5 linked regions of the Sus scrofa genome follow. The protein of the gene in region 1 purifies or fractionates together with the protein of each later gene. This does not show direct contact. Links are inferred from orthologs where the notes say so. Each region holds a gene or a part of one and is shown in the gene's direction. Other genes may lie near its edges. The genes, in order: SRPK3, SON, CCDC86, FTSJ3 and EBNA1BP2.

What was found.
Region 2: the proteins of SRPK3 (region 1) and SON purify together in Homo sapiens (affinity purification with mass spectrometry; 3 studies listed by BioGRID and IntAct, with this or other methods). This does not show direct contact. The link is inferred for Sus scrofa from reciprocal best matches to the Homo sapiens genes SRPK3 and SON.
Region 3: the proteins of SRPK3 (region 1) and CCDC86 purify together in Homo sapiens (affinity purification with mass spectrometry; 3 studies listed by BioGRID and IntAct, with this or other methods). This does not show direct contact. The link is inferred for Sus scrofa from reciprocal best matches to the Homo sapiens genes SRPK3 and CCDC86.
Region 4: the proteins of SRPK3 (region 1) and FTSJ3 purify together in Homo sapiens (affinity purification with mass spectrometry; 3 studies listed by BioGRID and IntAct, with this or other methods). This does not show direct contact. The link is inferred for Sus scrofa from reciprocal best matches to the Homo sapiens genes SRPK3 and FTSJ3.
Region 5: the proteins of SRPK3 (region 1) and EBNA1BP2 purify together in Homo sapiens (affinity purification with mass spectrometry; 3 studies listed by BioGRID and IntAct, with this or other methods). This does not show direct contact. The link is inferred for Sus scrofa from reciprocal best matches to the Homo sapiens genes SRPK3 and EBNA1BP2.

Annotation. Positions count from the first base shown.
Region 1 is NC_010461.5:124,522,414-124,527,061, forward strand, and holds the start of SRPK3 (SRSF protein kinase 3), read left to right. Parts: upstream 1-1,688; 5' UTR 1,689-1,759; coding exon 1,760-1,818; intron 1,819-1,890; coding exon 1,891-2,021; intron 2,022-2,161; coding exon 2,162-2,270; intron 2,271-2,409; coding exon 2,410-2,497; intron 2,498-2,744; coding exon 2,745-2,832; intron 2,833-3,279; coding exon 3,280-3,386; intron 3,387-3,474; coding exon 3,475-3,640; intron 3,641-3,742; coding exon 3,743-3,768; intron 3,769-4,204; coding exon 4,205-4,337; intron 4,338-4,419; coding exon 4,420-4,648. Other genes in the region: PLXNB3 (plexin-B3), read left to right, coding at 1-89. UniProt on the Homo sapiens protein: Serine/arginine-rich protein-specific kinase which specifically phosphorylates its substrates at serine residues located in regions rich in arginine/serine dipeptides, known as RS domains.
Region 2 is NC_010455.5:197,189,155-197,193,182, forward strand, and holds part of SON (protein SON), read left to right. Parts: exon of another isoform or gene 1-475; coding exon 476-623; intron 624-2,315; coding exon 2,316-2,387; intron 2,388-2,495; coding exon 2,496-2,611; intron 2,612-3,091; coding exon of another isoform or gene 3,092-3,144; coding exon 3,145-3,303; 3' UTR 3,304-4,028. UniProt on the Homo sapiens protein: RNA-binding protein that acts as a mRNA splicing cofactor by promoting efficient splicing of transcripts that possess weak splice sites.
Region 3 is NC_010444.4:10,903,269-10,907,820, reverse strand, and holds the start of CCDC86 (coiled-coil domain-containing protein 86), read left to right. Parts: upstream 1-1,624; 5' UTR 1,625-1,766; coding exon 1,767-2,536; intron 2,537-4,552.
Region 4 is NC_010454.4:15,108,398-15,112,367, forward strand, and holds part of FTSJ3 (pre-rRNA processing protein FTSJ3), read left to right. Parts: coding exon 1-46; intron 47-144; coding exon 145-339; intron 340-414; coding exon 415-530; intron 531-641; coding exon 642-746; intron 747-830; coding exon 831-931; intron 932-1,154; coding exon 1,155-1,235; intron 1,236-1,325; coding exon 1,326-1,472; intron 1,473-1,586; coding exon 1,587-1,722; intron 1,723-3,010; coding exon 3,011-3,198; intron 3,199-3,349; coding exon 3,350-3,467; intron 3,468-3,546; coding exon 3,547-3,812; intron 3,813-3,970.
Region 5 is NC_010448.4:168,047,822-168,052,397, forward strand, and holds the start of EBNA1BP2 (probable rRNA-processing protein EBP2), read left to right. Parts: upstream 1-1,664; 5' UTR 1,665-2,065; coding exon 2,066-2,131; intron 2,132-2,213; coding exon 2,214-2,297; intron 2,298-2,499; coding exon 2,500-2,669; intron 2,670-3,483; coding exon 3,484-3,607; intron 3,608-4,576. UniProt on the Homo sapiens protein: Required for the processing of the 27S pre-rRNA.

The DNA of each region.
Region 1 (4,648 bases):
AGGAGGACCCTGTGGGCCAGAAGATGCAACTGGCCTGCCGCCTGCAGCAGATTGCCGCCCTGGTGGAGAACAAGGTGACCGACCTGTGAGTTCGGGCAGTGGCAGGACCCGAGGACCCGCCATCTCAGCGCTTTCCCGCCCACCCGCCACCCAGAAGAGCCCTGGATGGAGCCAGCGGCCCCCGAGTGGCCGGCAGAGAGTAGGAGGGGCTCCTGGCGCCTCACCATCCAACTCCCGCGCCCCCGGCCCTGCTTCTTTCTAATTTATACCCATCCTTCTCCCTCCCCCTCCCCCACTGTATTTATGTACTTGCTGGAGCCTCACGTCTGGAAATAAAATAGACGTATGTCTTTTTAGAAGAAGCACACTCCCTAGCCCCGCCTCCCCCGGTGATGGCTTCCACTGCCTGAGAAAAAGAGGACCCGCAGCCATCACTCTCCTCCCTCCCCGACCCCCATCTATGCCCCCCTACCCAGTTCTTTTCTCGGCACAAGGATGTGGGACCAAGTGTCTCCCATCTTGGGATGACCAGTCACGGCCAAGGCCCCTCTGCTTCGTCCTGACCCCCTGACAGTCACCAGCTCCTCCCCCCTCCATTCTGTCCCGGGAGCAGCCAGTGTTCTTTCGGAAGAGCCAAAGTGTCCATTGGCCTCTGCCGGAACGCCACGCTTGTGCCCAGGGGCTCTGGGTGGGGCTCCTTGGTGGCCCAAGACCTCTGCTCGTCTTCCCCACCCGCAGCCACTCGTAAGCCAGGGCCAGCCACCGAGATCTCCAGCCCGTCCCGCTGCCTCCCTGGAGGCTAACCCCACCCCCTTTCTGGCGACCCAGTTCTCCTTTCTGGTCCCTTGGATGCGGCCCCAAGGTCGCAGCCCCGGAGGGCTCTGCCTGACCTGGACGTCGCTCTGTCACCAGCCCACGAGAGCTTGAGGAGGGCCCCCGAAGGGAGAGCCAGGGTGCACAGCTCCCTACGCCTCCCGAGCGCACACACACGTTGGTGGGGACAGTGAGCCAGGCAGGGTTGGCAGGCCCGGGGTGGAGCCAGACCCGGGCCCCAGGGAGCTGGGAGGGAAGCCACACAGGGCCATAGTGCTAGAGCCCTGGTGGGTCCTTGACTCCTAAGACAGGAAAGTGGGCACCTGGCTGAAAGTGAGCGGGGAATGCGGTACCCGTGGGCATGGCAGAGATTGCCTCCGGGAAGGCTCCCGCGAGGGCCAAGCCGGAAGCCAGAGAATGTTCCCGAAGTGTCACCTGTTCCCGAGGGCATGTGAGAGGGGTACAGGCTTGGCCTGAGGACCAGTTTGCCAGGTCCACAGTGCCCCTGTTTGGCTGTCCCCCCTAGCGGACCCTGCAGTGCCGGGACTGCTCGAGGACCGAGTCACTGTCAAGTGCCCCTTGGTGGCCCCCTCTGCCAGCCCTGGGGTGCAGGGGCTTAGCCTGGGGACCGGGTCCCCATGTCCCGCTGTGGGTGTCCCTCTGGGCCCTGGGCTGCGAGGGAACTCCGTGCGGAGGCTGGGTCCTGCCGGTCAGGCAGTGGCGCCCCCTGGGGAAGGGGGGCTCGTCCTGGGGGCCGGGCTCTCCGGGGCCCGCTGTCACCGCACCGCCCCCTCCCCGCTGCATACCTTGCCCACAGCGGAGCAGCTGGGAGGCTATTTATAAAGGCGGGTGAGATCAGCGGCCGAGGCTATAAATGCACGGGCCGCGGCCGGGCCCCACAGGAGCAGCCGCCCGGGGCGCCGGAGCTGCGGGCCGCGCCGCCGGGATGAGCGCCAGCACGGGCGGTGGCGGCGGCGGGGACAGCGGCGGCAGCAGCAGCAGCAGGTAAGGCTCGGGCCGGGGCGCCAGGGGCCTCTGGCACCTCGTGCGCTCACGGCCCGCCCACTTCACCCCCAGCTCGCAGGCCTCCTGCGGGCCCGAGTCCTCGGGATCCGAACTAGCTCCCCCCACACCGGCGCCTCGGATGCTGCAGGGGCTGCTGGGCTCCGACGACGAGGAGCAGGAGGACCCCAAGGACTACTGCAAGGGTGAGGCCTGGCCTGGCGCGGCCCGGGGGGAGGAGGGGCCGGAGCCAGCCCGCGTGGCTGGGGGGCGGGCAGGGCCGGGCCGTCCCGGGGCAGAGGGGAAGGCGACACCCCCACCGTGCTCCAGGGGCTCCCTTCCCCAGGCGGCTACTACCCTGTGAAGATCGGGGACCTGTTCAATGGGCGGTACCACGTGGTGCGCAAGCTGGGCTGGGGCCACTTCTCCACCGTCTGGCTCTGCTGGGACATTCAGTGAGTGCCCCCTCCGCACCGCCCCCCCCCCGCCCGCCGGGCTCAAGGCCAGCTGGGATCCCGGCTGTGGCTGGGGCCGCCACGAGGGCCCCACGGGTCCGGCCAGCAGCGGCAGCCCACGCGGCTCTGGGTGTTGCAGGCGCAAGCGCTTCGTGGCCCTCAAAGTGGTGAAGAGCGCGGGGCACTACACGGAGACAGCTGTGGATGAGATCAAGCTCCTGAAATGTGTGAGGCGCCTCCCCTGCCCACTCCCGGCTCCCCAGGAGCCGCCGGAGCCTGGCCATGTGGGTGCAAGGCCCGCCGGCTCGGCGGCTCGGCGGGCGGGCGGGCAGGGCTCCCGGAGGGCCGGCTCCAGCTGGCTCTGCGCAGTGGGAGGACCTGCCGGAGCACGAGGGCGGGGCCGGGCGGAGCCGCCGGGCAGTGGCTGGTGAGGGGCGGGTCGGAGTCATTTTGGGCCCTCGGCTTTGGCTCCAGGTGCGGGACAGTGACCCCAGTGACCCCAAAAGAGAAACCATTGTCCAGCTCATCGACGACTTCCGGATCTCAGGGGTGAACGGAGTTCGTATCCTTTGTAGGCTGAGCAGAGCCCCGGGGCAGCTTTCCCGGCTCCCAGGGCCTCGGTTTCCTGAACCGCATGACGGGGGTTCATCCCTCCAGGGACTGCCTTGCGGACCGTGTTTCCGCGCAGGGGGAGAGCCGAGAACCCAGTTGGTCGTTACCCAGGGGCGTTGCTGGATTACCCACAGGTGGCAGGGGCTGGCTCCGTGGGGGTCTGTGTGCAGGCTCATTGGCACCCACGGGCCCGGCTCCCCCCGCCCAGTGCCTTTTCCCAACTGGCACAGCCGAGTGACAGGGACACTAATGACCCCGGGAAGGTGGTCGCCAGGACTTTCCAGACCCAGCTCTGCACGGCCTGAGCCTTGTGGCTCCCCGCAGTGCAGCTAAGGGGTGGGGGGGGCAGGACCAGGGCTCCGCGTGCCCGGTGGCTGCCCTTGACTCCTGGCCCCAGATGTGTGCATGGTATTGGAGGTGCTGGGCCACCAGCTCCTCAAGTGGATCATCAAGTCCAACTACCAGGGCCTGCCCGTGCCCTGTGTGAAGAGCATCGTGAGGCAGGTGGGCAGCATGTGTCCTGCAGGACCGGCGCCCCGCCCGCGAGGCAGCCTGGGCGGGGCCGGTGGCGCTCAGGAGCGGCTCTCCCCAGGTGCTGCACGGTCTGGATTACCTACACACCAAGTGCAAGATCATCCACACAGACATCAAGCCCGAGAACATCCTGCTGTGCGTGGGTGACGCCTACATCAGGCGCCTGGCTGCCGAAGCCACAGAGTGGCAGCAGTCAGGGGCACCACCCCCCTCCCGCTCCACAGGTACCAAGAACCTGCAGCGGGCCGGGCCGGGGCCTGCAGGCCTCAGCTCTTGCCTGAGTCTCTGTTCCTTTCTCTCGGCCCGCGCTCTGCTGCACCCCACAGTCAGCACTGCCCCCCAGGAAGTCTTGGTAAGTTGGGCGCCCCTCTTCTCCTAGGCCTCATCTTCCCGTGTCCTGAGAGCTCACTCTCTCAGCCTCTCTGGTTCCACCCTTTCCTGCTTGTCCGCCCTCCCCAGCTGAGCGGCCCAGCTCTTTCCACGCGCCCCAAACTGCCCTGGGCAGCCGCTGGGCTTGCCACTGCCCCAGCGGAAGGAAGGATGCCGTCTAAGGCCGGGAGGGCCCAGGGGCAGCCCTGTTGGTTCCTCCCGAATCTTGAGCTCTGGCAGGTGGAAGGCGGGCGGGGAGACGGGAGGCGGGTGAGGGGCCCGAGCCAAGGGGTGGACTGGAGGGGGCGGCACCGCGTGCTGGTGTCCACGGAGCCCTGGGGCCTGCAGGCCGCGGGCAGAGGCTTGAGCTGCTCAGGGGATGGGAGACAGGAGCCTCGGAGTGACCCCGGCTCTAACAGCAGAGCGGCAAGCTGTCGAAAAACAAGAGGAAGAAGATGAGGCGCAAAAGGAAACAGCAGAAGCGGCTGCTGGAGGAGCGGCTGCGGGACCTGCAGAGGCTGGAGGCCATGGAGGCGGCAGCCCAGGCCGAGGGTGAGGGGCCCGAGGGGTGCAGAGCTGCCTGGCATGCGACGCGGGGCAGCGGCTCACACAGCACCTCCGCCCGTCTCCCCAGACTCTGGCTCGAGACTGGAGGGGGGCAGCGGCTCCACCTCCTCTTCAGGCTGTCACCCCGGGGGCGCCGGGCCCGGTCCCTCTCCGGCCTCCTCCTCCCCTGCCCCTGGGGGCGACCGCAGCCTCAGCCCCGGCTCGCAGACCTCAGGCTTCTCAGGCTCCCTCTTCTCCCCTGCATCGTGCTCCATCCTCTCGGGCTCGTCCAACCAGCGGGAGACCGGGGGCCTCCT
Region 2 (4,028 bases), on another chromosome or scaffold:
CTTGATTTATAGTAGAACGGGGAGAAAAATTGGATGGTAAAAAAGTATACTTCTTCAGTGTCCAAACTATTTCTAAATGATTTCTGGGCTTTATTCATTAACTAGGTACACCTGGGACAATTAATATTATTGACTGTTTTAACACTGCCTTCTTTTTATTTTGCAAGCTAAGAAGAGATACCAGTGACCCTAAATAGTGGACGAAAACAGGAGTGTTCTAATTTTTTTTTGGAGGGCGGGGGCACAAGGACCACTGTTTTAAAACTGCCATTTATTTGCCTTTCAAAATACTGTTATGTTTATGTGAAAATAATTAGAACATACACACTACAGTATGTATACAGGTATAGAAGCATTTAATTGCTACAACAGATATAGAAGTAAAATAAGATTTTTTTTTGAAAAAGTTACACTGAGTTTGTAGTCAAATTCTAACTATAAAATGCGGATATTTTACCTTTCTTTCTTCGGATAGGATCAATTCTTAAGAGCAGCCCCAGTAACTGGAGGAATGGGAGCGGTTTTGATGAGAAAAATGGGCTGGAGAGAAGGAGAAGGATTAGGAAAAAACAAAGAAGGAAATAAGGAACCTATCCTAGTTGACTTTAAAACAGACCGAAAAGGTAAGTTTTTAGAATGTTTTTTAATATGTCCTTTACCATTTAGGGTTTCATTACTGTTATAAATATTCTTTTGCTATCAGTGACCTGGAACTGGAGGCACTCCTTACAGTATATACCAAGCTCTTGGTTAGGAAAAAAAGTTTCCCCCATTTTCAGAAGCTTATACAGCTGGAAACACTAATTTGAGCTTCAAGGGCAACCTTTGTTGTGTGCAGTATATGATTTAACTTTCAGTTAGATTTCATGTTTCAAAAATGGAATTTACCATTTGTTTTCCCCTGACAGGGAAGGAACGTATGCTTGTCTTTGGTTCTAGGATTTGAATCTCATTTCCTATTAGAGAGTGCTGTTTAGTCTTCATTTTCAAAACCCTTTTTGCATGTCCCTTTTTTTGAGCTCAGTAATTGAGTTCTGTTGGGTTGGGACTAGAGAGTAATAAACCAACTGCTGATAGTTGTTTCATTTCTTCCCTTGGAATAAGGTCCCCGGTAGAATCACTTGGGCTGCCTGTTTAAGCCTGCTTTTTAAATACTGGAAAATTTAAAACTAGAATTTGTTTTCCTTGTCTTTGCATTAACCTCAGTTTAACTTTGATTACAATTAAATTGCTGTCCTAATGGATTTGGACACCCACTATCCCGGACCAAATTATGTATTTTTTAAAAGGTTTTGTTATTAGAATTTCTACATTGTCACCCACAAAGAATACTGTGTTGCCATTTTATTCCATTTGGAGGGAATTCATTGTAATCCTGATAATCAAAAGCAGGCTGGAAATAGCACAAGAACATCCTAATGTGGCATTACTTCAAACTATTAAATTAGGAAAAGACACTGTACTGATTGTCACATTGACGTTATACTGCTTTATATAAGTTGAATGGATTCTTTGGGGTTTATTGGAAAAAAACATCTGGATGCATTGCGTAATTTGAGGCAGTAGTCTTTTTGGAATTGTGCAGTGTTGCATCCATGTTGGCCTAGGTTTGGGAAAGCATAGTGGCAGAATTGGCAAAGAACTGGTTGAAGAATTCACCCTAAGATAAATGGAAAGTATTACTTGTTGGATGGTAATAGAGCTAAACTTCTTTTGGAAAGTGAGGCTGAGTCTGTCTCTTGAGTACATCTCATATCTGAAGTCAGAAAGGGCTTGTTTCCCGAGAAAAAAACGGGTCCATTTACCCATTAGAGAGCGTTTCTTGCTTTTTTAAACTTTGTTTTGGTCTAAAATCCTCACCTTTTGGAGAACATACTTTTAAACTAAGCCTCATTTTTTTTTTTTTAAAGGGATGGAAAACCTTTAGAAATCATCTGCAAATAGCCACCAGTATTTAAACTTGCAAAGAAACAGACCCACAGTTGTTGATAATTATGACAATTTATATGTGTGTTCACATATTAAATTCTTGTATTTTTGGAACATTTTAATTTTGCAGTTTCCAATATTGAGATCTATGAATACAAAATAGAGATTTATATATTGAAAGGGCAAAATAGAAATCAAGGTTTATATAGAAGTCAAGGGTAGTGGTGGGTGTTAAATATTGTATTTGAAGCCATGGAACCAGTTCAGGTTCCTACATAGAGGGAGTGGTTGTTTTGCCTTATTACAGTTTTAAATGCTGGTTCGAGATTCATTCAGTGAACATTGCATAAATGTTCAATGAATAAATTGAATTTCTTTTTTTTAAGGTCTTGTTGCAGTAGGAGAAAGAGCACAAAAGAGGTCTGGAAACTTCTCTGCTGCCATGAAAGATCTGTCAGGTGAGAGTACACTTTTGAATATCCTCCTGTCCCACCCACTCTTTGAATTCATAATTTGTTGCCACAGGTGTGGAGATAATTAATAACCGTTTTTTTTCTTCTGTATAGGCAAACATCCTGTGTCTGCCTTGATGGAAATCTGTAATAAGAGAAGGTGGCAACCACCTGAATTTCTTCTGGTCCATGATAGTGGCCCTGATCATCGCAAACATTTTCTCTTTAGGGTAAATATGAATTTCTGCATTAATTCTATACTAGTTTTATGACTTAATGTTAGAGGGTGAGGGGTAAGCATCATATGATCACAGGATTAATGTTTGCGGGTTGGGAATGTGTATATGTGTGGGTAGAGTGGTGGCATTTTAAAAAATGACCTGTTGATTTTTTTAAAAAAATGTTGGAGGGAAAGATGTGGGCAAAATTTGATGAATAATTTGTTAATCCTTTCTAGTGGAACATGGGGGGAATTAAGCAGTTTTTATCAGGCTTTTCCCCCCACCCCTTCAATTTGGAGACCTGCACTTAATTTGCAGTCTCTTTTCCGAAATGATTTGCTTCTTTGGGGGTTGAGATTAATTTGCTTTATTACATAGTATGGGTGTTATATTTTTGTAAATTACTTTTCTAGCATTTAGTGAAAAAAATACAAAGCTAATAGATATTAAAGTTTGATGCTGTTCTTATTGTATGTTTTTCTTGAATAGGTATTGAGAAATGGAAGCCCTTACCAGCCCAATTGTATGTTTTTCTTGAATAGGTATTGATAAATGGAAGCGCTTACCAGCCCAGCTTTGCCAGCCCTAATAAGAAGCATGCTAAAGCCACAGCAGCTACTGTGGTTCTTCAAGCAATGGGCCTTGTACCAAAGGACCTCATGGCTAATGCCACTTGCTTCAGGAGTGCCTCACGTAGATAGATTGAGGTTTTATATTAATCATTTCAGATAATTTTACTCTGCATCAAAATGTATTTCCTCTTTAATGTTGTAAATATTTGGCAATTTAAGACATTGTGTAAAAAGCAATCTGTACAAACATCTCCAGGCTTTGATTTTTGTACCATGGAAATTGTATTTAACCATACAGGGTTTTGGTATGTTTATATTGTTTACCTTAGTGATGTATTTGTTTAAGTGGCTAACATCCAAACGATTGTTTGAAGGCATCCGTAATCTTCAGTGTGGAATGTTAAATAACGCTTTTATACTGTATTTTGTACTATGATGTAACTCCCCTTCCTTATGGCTAGGCTGCTGTAACACTTGCCTGTAATCAGTGAAGGGCTGTGCACCTTGTACTAGTTCCCAATGGGTTCTGCTGGACAGATACTGGGCCAGTGTTATTGAGGTAATCAAGCAAGATCTGTTCCACAGGGCTAATGCCACCATCTCCCCTTTAAAATTTTGTAGAGGTTGTAAAAAGAAAAAAGAAAAAAAAGAAAAAAAAAAAGGAAGTGGTATGTTGTGTGATGATCAGCACTAAGTCCTGCGTTTCTGTCAAAGCCACTTGGGCCATGAATGAGAAGGGAGTCCAAATGAAGTCTGACTAGAATTCTACTGCAGAGGCCAAGTACATTTAGTATGGCATTGAGTTGTGATATAGTCTTACTTTGATGTGCATTTTGAATTTCAGCTACACCTAG
Region 3 (4,552 bases), on another chromosome or scaffold:
GGAAGTGAGGACAGCTGAGGGGACCTGGGGCAGGGTGGGGCAGTGCAGTGGCATGTAATCTCCTCCACAGCCCTGGTAACGCCTGCCCGGTGTGGTTTGGCATAGCCTCCAGGCTGGGGCAGGGAATTAGGGAACTGAGAATTGAGGGTTGGAAGACATGGGTGAGGAAGCGTTTGAGCTGCTTCTGCAGTGGGGACCTGCACCGCTGTGCTGGGGCACCGAGACATAGCCTCCTTGCAGAGGCTTCTTTGGTCCAGGAGCAAGGGGCATGAGGGCACTGAGCCTGTGGGTGGAGCCCCTGAAAGTGGCCCGGAAGGGAGGGACTGACACGGGATTACAGCACAGGGATGCAACTTTCTGACAACAGGGAAGGGTAGTGGAGTAGCAGAGCCAGCGCCTAACCCTTAAGTACCCTTGGGATTTCAAAACGCTAGATTCATCAAGATATGTTGTGGATGCCGTGTGGCACCAGCCAAGGGGTGAGAGGTCTTAAAGGATCCTCAATCCACTTTTCCATCCTCCAGGAACCTTGCCTATGTTTTCCTCCTCCTCATCTCCTCTTGATCAGCAGTCAAGTCACCTTGCACCCCATCTGACAGTTGGAAGAGTGACTCGGCAGGTGGGAGCTGAGCTCAGTGCTGAGGGCCCTGGCTGTCTGCCTGGCCTTCCTCCTCTGCCCCCTGAGCACCTCTGGACAACTTCCCAGGCCCACGCATAACCCCTCAGCTGAAGAAACAATAGTGTCTAAAAGAAGCTGCTGGGACAGCGGAACCAGGACCCTGGGATGCCTAAGCGCCATCCCCAGGAAGTTCCAAAAATACACTAGGGAAGAGCTGGGGTACATTTGGGCAACTGCCAAGATGTTCTTCCTAAGAAAGGCGTCTGCTCTGAGTGACTCAAAGCCCCCAACTGGGTGTCACGCAAAGGAGGGAGGAGACAAGTTCACATACTAGGGCAAGGACCGCTGTCTTGGCTGAAATAAAACCCAGAGACAATCCGACCTCTGTTTCTAGAACTAGGGCAGAAGGGGTACCAGAAAAGGTGTGCAGAGGGGCTGAGGGCCTGGGCATGCCGCAGATGGTGCATTTTACCCATACTCCAACTTCATGCAGAAAGCTGAAAATGTTGCAAAGGAGAGCCATCGATTTTACATTTAGGCATAGGATGGGAGAAGAGAAAGCAAGGATTACTTTTAACACTGGGCTTAAGAAATTTCCCACCTTCAGGATCTGCCAAGTAGCATTCACCCTGGCAGTCAGGATGCTTTGGCAGGATCATTTTATATACACTAAACTAGTGTAAAAGCACCCGTGTTACAAATGAGAGAACTGAGGCACAAACTGGGTAGGACCCCTAACTGCAGAGGAGTTACTGGCAGTTTTCACCCAGCCTTGCCTACGAGCTCCCTGGATCTTTTCCCAATCCTCTTCTCTCCCGAAAACAGGACCCCTTTTCCTTCCTCCACCGGCACACTCTTTTTCCCCGGAGACTGGGTTCGCAGGAATGACAAACCCCGATCTGAAGCTGACATTCCTTCATCAATCGCGTGTAAACGTGCCAAAACGCTTTGCGCATGCGCCTAGTAAACCCAGGCCCCGCCCGCCCCGGACTCCTCTGTACCCGCCTATCTGCCCATCACCAACATGGCCTCCGCAGCAACAGCCCCTCCTGCCCTACACAGACGTGGCGTCTCCTGACGTCATAGGACGGCGCCGGGAGTCCCAGAAGCTGCACGTGGGCTTGGATTTAGAAACTCTGGCGGTGCCATGGATACACCTCTCAGGCGCAGTCGGCGGCTGGAAGGACTAAAGCCTGAATCCCCCGAGAACCCCACCCCAGTTTTGCAGGCGAGACGGGCCCTTGTGGAGCTCGAGTCGCACCCAGAAGAAGCGAGGGAGCCCGGGTCTCCTCGGAATGTGCAGCCACCAGGTTTGGGGTCCCCCAGACGTCAGTCAGAGACAGCTCCAGTTTCACCCAGTCTACAGGAAGGGGCAGGCTTGGGGTCCTCCCAGAGACAGCCAGAGCCGGGCCCAGGGTCCCCCCAGCGTCAGCGAGATCCGGGTCTGGAGTCTTCCCAAAGGCAGCCGGAATCGAGTCCTGAAACCCCAGGACTTCAGTCAAAGCCAAATGGGGAGTCACCAAAGTTCTCCCAGGACCAAGAAGCGGATTCGGAGTTGGCCGGGAGTAAGGCGGAGCAGACCCCGGAGTCTCCCCAACATCAGCTGCAGTTGGGCCCAGGGTCACTAGAGCCTTACCCCGGTCAGCAAGCGCCGGATCTGGAGCCCTCGCAGCCACTACAGGAGCTGCCACTGCAGGAGCTGCCACTCCAGTCACCCGGTTCCCCACAGGATCAGAACGAGCCAAGCAAGCCAGCTCCATCCAGGGAAAGGGGGAGAGACGTCCTCGGGCCAAAGAAGCGAGAAAGTTCTTCAGTCCAGGCCCCAGCGTCCAAAAAGCAGAAGAAAGAGGAGGTTCCTGTTATCCCGAAGGGGAAGCCCAAGTCTGGGCGAGTGTGGAAGGACCGCTCAAAGAAGAGGTGAAGTAGGCGACACCTGGGCGGGCATGGGGTTCTGTGTGGTGCTTGGGCCTGGGCACAACCTGGGGATAGCCCCCTGGGTTGGAGAGCGCTCACAAAAGTGGGGGTGTCACACAAACAGGTAATTATAATCAGAATGTGGTAAGATGCACCGGGATGTTGGGGAGGAATGCCCTCAGTGGACCTCTTCTCATCTGTGTGTTCATTCAACACACATTTACCCTCGACTCTGCCCTCTCTAATAAGGAGGCAGAAGCAAGTAAAACAGTATTTACCATTATGTTACATTTTTTTGCCTTTTTAATAAAAGGCATTACCAAGTACTGACAATATAGAAAGCTGCTAAGCCCTCTAGTAAGGATTGGTTAGGGGAAGGGCCTTTCAAATGGTAGAAGCATGCATCTTGGCTTTTTTTTCTTTTTTCTTTTTTTTTGGCTTCACTTGCCTGCAGCTTTCGGCAGCTCCCAGGCCAGGGATCAAACCCGGGCCACAGCAGCAACTTAAGCCGCTGTGGTGACAATGCCAAATCCCTAACCCACTGCCCCACAAGGAAAACTCCTGCATCTTGACATTTAATCTGCACATCAGCCCCATGAAGCTGTTAGGATTATCCTCGTTGTACATACGAGGGCACCAAGGCTCAAGGAGGCTGCATGAGTGGTAGAGGCAGAAGCCGAGCACAGATTGGATTCCAGAGTCCGTGCATGGAAGCCCTTTACCTGTGCTCTGTAGATCTGCTGTGCATTGGATTACAACCTTCTAAAGGGTAGGCATGACATTTTGTCTTGTCTTGCTTGTCTTTCTCTGTGGCAGACAGCAGGTGCCTGATTAAATGCTTGTTGAGTGAAGGAATGAAGAGGCTCAGCTGAAGAGGGAAGTGAGGAGAGGAGAGGTGGGATCCAGTTCACATTTTTAGGTAGTGGGAACCACTGGGCAGTCAGGAATTCATGGCCAGAAGGGACCATCAGGGAAGGCAGTGATTTTAAGGAAGAAGCAGACATTTCCCAAGAGTTGACTGTGTGTCAAGCTTTGGGCTAGGCCTTTTGCAGATGCTATGTTGTTGAACCCCTGAAACCCAAGGCAGGTATAATCCCTCCCCCACCTCCTCCCCCATTAAACGGAGAAGAAACTGAAATTGAGGGAATAATTTGCTACAAGACCCCAATCAGAGACTTCGAAGCTAGACTCTAGACTGTTGGACTTAGAAACGTGGATGGTGGCATGGCCCCTCCGCCTTGGTCCCAGCAGGTCCCAGAGAACAGTGAGGCCACTGATGGCCATGCAGATCCAGATGAAGGGGTTGGCTCAGTGGAAAGAGGGTGATGAGCAAGTTGAGTGTGGGACCCTGGGCCTTGGTACTCGGAGGGGGCGGGGAAGTTGAGCTCTCTGAGCAAAAGGGGGCTGCACCCATGCACAGGCCAGAAGAGAGGGTCGGCAGAAGACCCCAAGCAGCGAGAGAAAGAGGCTATTTTGTCCCAGATCCCACCGTGAGCTGAAACCCTTCCCGACTTCCTTCTTCCCTTGGAATTGCGCTGCCATCCTCTGCCATCACTGAGAACCTCCCCCACCGCCCTTCCCGCCATGTCCCCCGCTGTAGGTGATGCTCCCTCCCAGCTCAGGGCCTTTGCACATGCTGTTCCTTCTGTTGCAAGGCTTTTCCCCTGACTAGTCCCTGCCCATCTTTCAGGGATCAGCTTAAATAGCAAATTTAAATATTAAATATCCCCCTGGGAAAAGCCCTCTTACCCTGGGAAAAGCCCTCTTCGTCCAGCCCAAGCAGGGTTCAGTCCTCAAGCTGTGTTATCATGGGGTGGAACTTCTCTTTTGTGACACCCCCCCATTTGCAGAAATGCCTGTTTACGTGTGTGGTTCTTATTGGCTGCCAGCTTCCCTGTAGACCAGAGAGTGGGGTTTCTCTGCTATGGTGAGATTTCCCTGGCCCAGCACACAGCAGGCACTGAGCTGAACAAGTTGATAAGTAAGAACAGAAAGTAGTTCGTTCTTGGAGTTCCTATT
Region 4 (3,970 bases), on another chromosome or scaffold:
GCCCCCAACGTTGGGGCCAGCTGGGTCCATGATGCTTATTCACAAGGTGCCAGGATGGGGTGGTGGCCTGGGGATGCTGGTGGTGGGGGGGCACACCCTTCCGGGCTGCAGAGATCCTCAGCGAACTGTCTCTCTCTCCCACAGCCCATTTGACCCTGATGGCTCTGCGTTTGGCTTGCGATTTTCTGGGTCGCGGTGGCTGCTTCATCACGAAGGTTTTCCGTTCTCGTGATTATCAGCCCTTACTGTGGATCTTCCAGCAGCTCTTCCGCCGTGTCCAGGCCACTAAGCCCCAAGCGTCTCGTCATGAATCTGCAGAGATTTTTGTGGTCTGCCAGGGTGAGCATTACTTCAATCTCTTGACTCAGTTTTCACCTGCCACAGCGCCTGTTCTTACATATCTTATTGTCTTAGGATTCCTGGCGCCTGACAAGGTTGACAGTAAATTCTTTGACCCCAAGTTTGCCTTCAAGGAGGTTGAAATTCAGGCCAAGACTGTTACCGAGTTGGTGACTAAGAAGAAGCCAAAGGTGTGTTTGGGGAGTGGGGCCACCCCGAGGACCTGGAACTCTGGGGCGGTTGGGCCCGAGTCCTCAGATACCCCAGTAGGGACCGCTCACCTTCTTTCTTTCCCTTCCAAGGCTGAAGGCTATGCCGAGGGTGACCTCACTCTCTATCACCGAACCTCAGTCACTGACTTCCTCCGAGCTGCCAACCCTGTCGACTTTCTCTCCAAAGCCAGCGAAGTGAGTCCCCAGACTTGGGGGGTATGAGGGAGTCCCAGAAACATGGCCTAGCGTCTCCCAACTCCTTTTCCTTCTCCCCAACAGATTGCAATAGATGATGAAGAGTTGGCACGGCATCCAGCCACCACCGAGGATGTACGGGCATGCTGTCAGGATATCAGAGTGCTGGGCCGCAAGGAGCTTAGGTACACGCCGGGGGGCAGCTGTAGGTGCTGGGATCCAGAGGCAGGGAGGGCCTTTGAGGGTCTTGACATTGGGTCTCTGGGAACAGGATGCTGCTGTGCTAGAGGTTTGGGGTAAGGGTCTGAGCCCTACGATGTATGTGGCTCCAATGTAAACTTTGGGGTATGAGGCAGCGGTGGGGACAAGAGGGAGACGGTAAGGTCAGGAATGGTATTTCTGGGGCAGATCCCTACTGAACTGGAGGACGAAGCTTCGGCGACATGTGGCCAAGAAGCTGAAAGAACAAGCAAAGGCAATGGACATCAGGTGAGGAGGGAGCTAAGCCAGGGCAGGTGTTGACTGGGTGTTGGGGGAAGCGTCTGGGAAAATGACCAAGTCCTGGGCCTGTTCTGTCAGCCTCAGCTCAGGGGAGGAAGAGGAAGGGGAGGAGGAGGAGCAGGCGGCCCGGGCCTCGCAGCAGCCCTCTAAGGAGGAGGAGGAGGAGGAGCAGCTCAACCGGACCCTGGCAGAGATGAAGGCCCAGGAGGTGGCGGAGTTAAAGAGGTGAGAGGAGCTGGGGGAGCCCCATGGCAGAGCCCCTTGGGGCGTGAAGGCGGGGGAGGGGTGAAGGGACACTCCAGAGCTGGGCAGCTTTAATTCCTCGAACCTTCCCCTCAGGAAGAAAAAGAAGCTGCTGCGCGAGCAGAGGAAGCAGCGGGAGCGTGTGGAGCTGAAGATGGATCTTCCTGGAGTTTCCATCGCCGATGAGGGGGAGACTGGCATGTTCTCCCTGCGCACCATCCGGGGTCACCAGGTGAGCGGGGGGCCTTGGTGAGGGTGCCGTGGGGTCATGGCTCATGGCTGTCTGCACCCAGAAGACGACTTGGCCAGGGCAACTGGGAATAAACAAGAGCTTTGGTCCCACAGGCCAGGAAGGAACCCACACTTAGAATGCTGAATGTAGGAAGGTTTGGGTGTGCTAGAGCTGCGGCCTTGTGGGACTAGTGCATTACCATAACCAAGGCCACTTGTTGGAGGAAGCTCAGCTTATGGGAGATGCAGCCAGGGGCCTGGCTCCCAGCATGTGTGATGGAGGCTTTCCCTCAGAGGAAGCGGCCTTCAGCTCGCTGAACCCAGGTAGCACTGTGCTGCACTAGGCTGCGAGATGGTGCTGGCTGCTAAATAGCGGAGAATCTGTTTTTCCTGATAAAAGCAACCTCACCAACAAGATGCGCTTTCGTGGCTCTTGTGTGGGAAGGTACTAACCAGGTCGACTTGCTCCACAGCAGTGGCAATAAAGCACTTACATGCTCTGCCTCAGATTTTTCATCTGTAAAAGAATTAATAGAACCTACCTACTAGGATTTTTGGAAGGAATATAAAAAGATGATTAGGTGGAACCCTGGTATGTGACTCAAAGAGTAGCTATCTTTACCATGAGGAAAATGGATTTTTGGAGTTGACAACTGGCTTATAAGTGAAATGGTACCTCCTGTTAGATGTATGTTGCATGGGCTCTTTTATTCGGTAGAAACAAGAACTGTAGATTATTATAGTGCCTTCTGCAAGTAAATTTTTTAAAAAAATCAGTGTTTTAGGACATTTTAAAGTTTGACACTAGGCCATGGGGCACTTTTTCATAAACTTTTTTTCTGCTACTGGTACAGAAGAGAGCTGAGTGACCTGGCCTAGAACGGGATTTTTTTTTTTTTTTTGGTCTTTTTAGGGCCGTACCCACAGCACATGGAGGTTCCCAGACTAGGGTCTAATCAGAGCTACAGCTGCCCACCTATGCCAGAGCCACGCCAGATCTGAGCCGCATCCGCGACCTACACCACGCCGGATCCTTAACCAAGTGAGCGAGGCCAGGGGTCGAACGCACAACCTCATGGTTCCTAGTCAGATTTGTTTCTGCTGTGCCATGACAGGAACTCCTAGAATGGGATGTTTTAAACAGTTTAACCCCATCACTTCCCTGTCTGTAAGAGAAGGTACTGTACTCGCCAGTGTATTTCCTAGTGTTCCCAAGGATAAACTAAGATAAGATGGATGGGGAGGGAGGCAGGAAGTCCTTGTCAGCTCCTTTGACCACTGTGTCTCAGTTGTTAGAGGAGGTGACGCAAGGGGACATGAGTGCTGCAGACACGTTTCTGTCTGACCTGCCAAGTGATGACATCTACATATCAGACGCTGAGGAGGACGACGACGACAGTGCATCTCTGGATAGTGACCTGGATCCAGAGGACCTAGCAGGAGTCAGAGAACCTCAAGGTCTAAAGGACCAAAAGCGGTAAGGGAGGTGAGGGGGTTATTGCAGGAGGGAGTCCTCACCCCCCTCAGCCCGAGCCCAGAAGCAGAGCTGGTGGCGGGTGTGGGGGCTGGAGTGGGGGAGCAAGTCCTCCAGGGCGCTGACTCTGCACCTGTTTGCCTCCGGTCTACAGTGTACGACTTGCTGAAGCAAATGATGAGAAAGAGGAGGAGGGAGAGAACCCGCTGCTGGTGCCACTCGAGGAAAAGGCGGTACTGCAGGAAGAACAAGCCAGCCTGTGGTTCTCAAAGGCAAGCAGCAGCTGGGTGCCAGGATGGCCGGGACTGGCGTCCTCAGGGCAGGGGGTGTCTGACGTTTTTGCCACCACAGGATGGCTTCAGCGGGATCGAGGATGATGCTGACGAGGCCCTGGAGATCAGCCAGGCACAGCTGTTGTACGAGAGCCGTCGCAAGGGGCAGCAGCCACTGCCAGCACCTTCCAGCGTGAAGACTGAGAGAAAACCACCCCCATGCCAGGGTGAGGCCCCTGAAGGGGCAGGGGCTCCTTCAGGGACAGAGGCTGCCACAGGCCCTGGCGGGGAAGCCAGAGATAGCAGCTCTGACAGCGACAGCAGCAGCAGTGAGGATGAAGACACGTGAGTGGTTGCAGCTGACGGGAGAAGGGATGAAGAGGAGCAGTGGTTCTAATCGTTGCTAAGTTGGGGGTCTTCAACCTTGCCGGTAGATGGGGAATTTAAAAAATACTGAGTAGGAGTTCCCATTGTGGCACAGTGGTTAACGAATCTGACTAGGA
Region 5 (4,576 bases), on another chromosome or scaffold:
TAAGACATTTCCTAGAAAAGTAAATAGGAGTAGCCCCTTACCTGTGTGAAAATATTCATCCTCATTAGTATGAGATAAATACACGTTAAAACCACAGTAAGATACCCCTTCTCAAGCACTAGGCAAGCAAAAACTTAGGAAGTAAAATAACAGCAAAGGGTGGTGAGGCCCTGGCGGAGGCATGGCCTCCTCCTGCCACGGCCTTTTGGTGGAGTGTGGATTGGTGCTACCACGTGAGCCAGTAATTTCAGCCCTGGTGCATGTCCTGGAGCATCTTTGCACAAGGAGATGCGTACACATGAAGGCAAGAATGTTTGTAGCAGCGTGGTTAGTAACAGTGACAAATGCTGGTTCTGAAATGGCCATCGACACTAGGATGGATAAATACGTTTGAGATACTAGAGTCATATGACAGAATGCTGTACAGTAATAATATAAACGCAGTTAATATGTATCGAGATGCATGAATTTCAAAAGCATACTGTTGAGCAAAAGAAGCGAGTCACAGAATACATACACTATGATTACATGTAAATAAAGTTGGCAAACAGCACAGACTAAAAAAAGCGGCATCTTACCTAAAGCCACACAGATAGGCGTGTAAAACTACACAGAGGAATAAGGGAATAATAGCAAAGTCCAGGGTGGGGTGAGAGTGGGCATGCACGTGGGAAGAATGCAATCAGGGAGAAACGCTGGAACTGGTAATGTTCTGTTTCCTATCCTACGGGCAGGCTCAAAGATCTTTTGTACGCAAAAGTCTTTTGTACGCATTTGTCACAATAAGACCTGCTGCATGCAAAAAAGGAGTCGGAAAAAGAGCAGGTGGTTAAATGGTGGAAACCACGGAAATCAATAGCAGGACCACTGTGAACACACCAGGGATGGTTATTTGTGATTTGGGATAAAACCTCCAGGGTCGTCATCACACATAGACTCAAAAGGTGCTGTAATGAAAGTGGTGTACTCTGGAAAACTGTTGTAAAACTCAAAGACAGCGATATTGAAGATGCATGAAACTCTTCCAAATATTTCTTTCATTAAATCACAGTTTAAAAAGTGCATTAATATTAACATGATTTTACATGTAATCTTAGCTGTGTATGTGCGACTCATTAATCTATACATCAAATAAGGCACGTAGACCCATATTTCTTTCACATTTATAAAACCACAGGTATATCCCAAGTTGGTCAAAGAGGTTTCCTTCTCAATCGTCGGGATGGGATTATGGGATTATATTTGGCACACATGGTTACGTATGTCAGACTGGAAAGTGTTTTACCTGGAATGAATTTTTGCCACTTTTGATCCACATTGTATTTCACACAATGATTTCCTGAAGGAAATATGATGATCTGTTCATCGAAGAAGAAGACATTGTTGGCCACGTGGGATCGAAAACCAAAAACATGCAGCGACTGAGCTACCACGGTGGACATGGTCCCGGGTAAAGAGTTCTGCTGAAGATGAAGCGCAGGTGGGGAGCTCGGAGACACGCGTCACCCCCCACCGAGCCCCCCCCGCCCCCCCGCCCCCCGCCCCCGCGACGCGCCTCTGACCCCGCCCCTGACCCCGCCCCTGAGCCAGACCCCGCCCCCAGGGCCTTCTCCGCCCACCTCCCTTCAGCAGCCTCCTTCCGCGCCCTCGACCCGGCTCCTGCTTCTCCTCTTTCCTTTGCCTTCGCGGCTCCCTGTTCCGGACGATCCCCAGAGCCCCGTCCCACCTGTCGCTTCTGCTCTGCGGATCACCAGACCGCTCGTGGATGCAGGGTACTACCCAGGGATCCTAAGCAGCCCCGCACTTTCCGACGCCGGAGCGGTTCCTATAGCGACGGCAAACCGGAAGTGTGTCTTCGGCTGGAAGCGGAAGTCCCGCTCAGAGGGTTGAGTGGCGGCGGGGAGTTGAGGGCCCTGGTGGTGTTCGGATACACGTGGAGCTGCGGTGGGCGGGCAGCGGCCGGACAGCCGGAGGCGGCGGCGGCGGCGAGGGGCACCCTTTTGTAGCCGCGGAGACCTAGGGCTCCGCTGCCTCCTCCGGCGGGTGTGGACGTGCGCTTTGCGAGATGGATACTCCCCCGCTCTCAGGTTCGGATTCCGATTCTGATGACTCTCTGGTCACCGACCGAGAGGTAGGTGTCCGCCGAGCTTGCTGGGCTGCGCACGGGAGAGGGGTCCTGGTTCTCCGGTACTGACTGCCGGTCGTGCCTGTAGTTGCAGGACGCGTTTTCCCGGGGCCTCTTGAAGCCAGGCCTCAACGTGGTGTTAGAGGGGCCGAAGAAGGCCGTGAACGACGTGGTGAGCTCGGGCGCCGGGCGGGAGGGGCTGGGCGTGGGGTGCGCACGAGGCACGGTTGTGCCCGGGAGACTGCGTTCTAGTCCCAGAGAAGACGCAGCCTGCGCATTGCCAGGGGGGTCCACGACCTGTCGGGGTCTCGAGGGCTAACGCTTGGTTTGTTGGCCTGTTTCCTCCCTGTGAGCTTCGTGTCTGGATTTCCTAGAATGGCCTGAAGCAGTGTCTGGGCGAATTTAAGCGGGATCTGGAGTGGGTTGAAAGGCTCGACGTGACCCTGGGTCCGGTGCCGGAAGTCACTGCCCCTCAGTCAGCCTCCCAGAGCAAGGATCCGAAAGCTGTTGATCCAGAAGACGACTTCCAGCGTGAGATGAGCTTGTACGTCTGTTTTCAAGTGGCAGAGGTTGTGGGTCCCCGAGAACGTGCTGGAGAGTGAGGAGGGGGGAGGCCGTGAGCCAGTAGGGATTTCCTAACCCTGGGAGCCGGGAGGAGGGCTTCTTTGGACCAAAGAGCTAGGAGAGTCTCCCTGGTTGAGAGAAGAGCCCCTTGGTCCAGCAGTCACAGCTTAAAGTCCAGTGTGTTCAGATATTCAGTTTTAAAGTTTTTTGTGTGTGTGCAATTGATTTTAGAATAAGAATTTCCTTATGGGCGGTCCCTGTGGGCTTTTTTTAGTGACTTAATAAGAATATGTAATTGGAATTCGTAAATTGATGGGTTCTTCTAAAGTGGTCGTTCTCAAACGGCTAATTTCTTTTTAGCAGTCCTCCCCACCCCCTTTATTTATTTGTGCATTTGTTTATAATATAGTTGATTTACAATGTTCTGCCAATTTCTTCTGTACAGCAAGGTGACCCTGTTAGACATGCATAGAAATTCTGTTTCTCATGTTATCCTCCATCCTGATCCATCACAAGGGATTGGATATAGTTCCCTGTGCTACATGGCAGGATCCCATTGCCCATCCATCCAAATGTAACAGTCTTCATCCCCACCCCCTTTAAAAAGAGTGTACATCTAAATTTCTCCTAAAAAGTTAGTGAGGTTTTATTGCTGTTTCTGTTTGCATGTGTGTTCTTGCTGGTGCAGCTCAGGTGTTGAGAGGCTCTCTGACCTTAGGTGACTCATGAGAGACAGTGGGGAGGATTTCAGGTCTCTCTCCCTTAGCCTCTCACACTTGGTCCTGTATCTTCAGCTACCGTCAGGCCCAGGCAGCAGTGCTTGCGGTACTGCCCCGCCTCCATCAGCTCAAAGTCCCTACCAAGCGGCCCACGGACTATTTTGCAGAGATGGCCAAGACCGATCAGCAGATGCAGAAGGTGAGAAACAGGGAAGGTGTTCTCTGGGAAACTGAGGCTTTGTGCTTAAGTGCACTCAGCTGGCTTATTTCATTTAGTATTTAAATGAACACAGGCCTAAGTCCATTAATAGGGAGCCACTTGTCAGAGGAAAATGATCTGTTATCTACTTCAGATTCATGCCGTTGACCACCGACTGGATACATATAAGGATGACTTTTTTCTAGGTTAAACAGTTAGGAAAGGGGAGGAAGGTCCTTGAAGAAGTGCGGTCCCTGAGGTAAAGATGGCCTTTTGCGTTTCCTGGCTGGCACGGTCATGGCATAGTGTGTGGCAAAGACAGCAGTTCTTTTTTTTCTTGGTTTGTTTTATTTAAGTACAGTCGATTTACAGTGTTGTGTACAGCGAAGTGACTCAGTTGCACATTTTCATATTCTTTTCCATTGCGGTTTATTACTGGATGCTGCGTATAGTTCCCTGTGCTCTACAATAGGACCCTGTGGTTTACCCACTTTGTATAACAGTTTGCAACTGCTGATCCCACAACCACAGGCCTGTTCTCTGTGAACGACAGTAGTTCTTTCCTGCCCTTTCCTTGGGGAGCCGGGCTGTAACTTGTAGACAGTTAACTTTTTTCTGGGCCTCAGTTTTATCTTTGAGAAAATGAGGGATTAATATACGGCTCAGATTTGGTGTAATTTGGAGTTAGGTAGATCTCGGTTCCCCACTCAACTTTGGGAGGAAGAAAATTACCAACCCCTAACCCAAGATACACTTAAATAGTTCCCTCGGGTCTCAAGCTGGATTTGGGGGAGCTCCTGTCTCTGTGGTACTCGGGGGAGCTAATCTGGAGGTGAGCGCAGACCGATCTCATTCAAACTGGCAGCTGCTCATCCTTTAACTAAAATGTGTATGTTTAATGCAGACCTCCAGGTACCTGATAGCTGTTTGAGGTTTTATTGTGTATGTGGTGTATTGAGCACGGGGGCC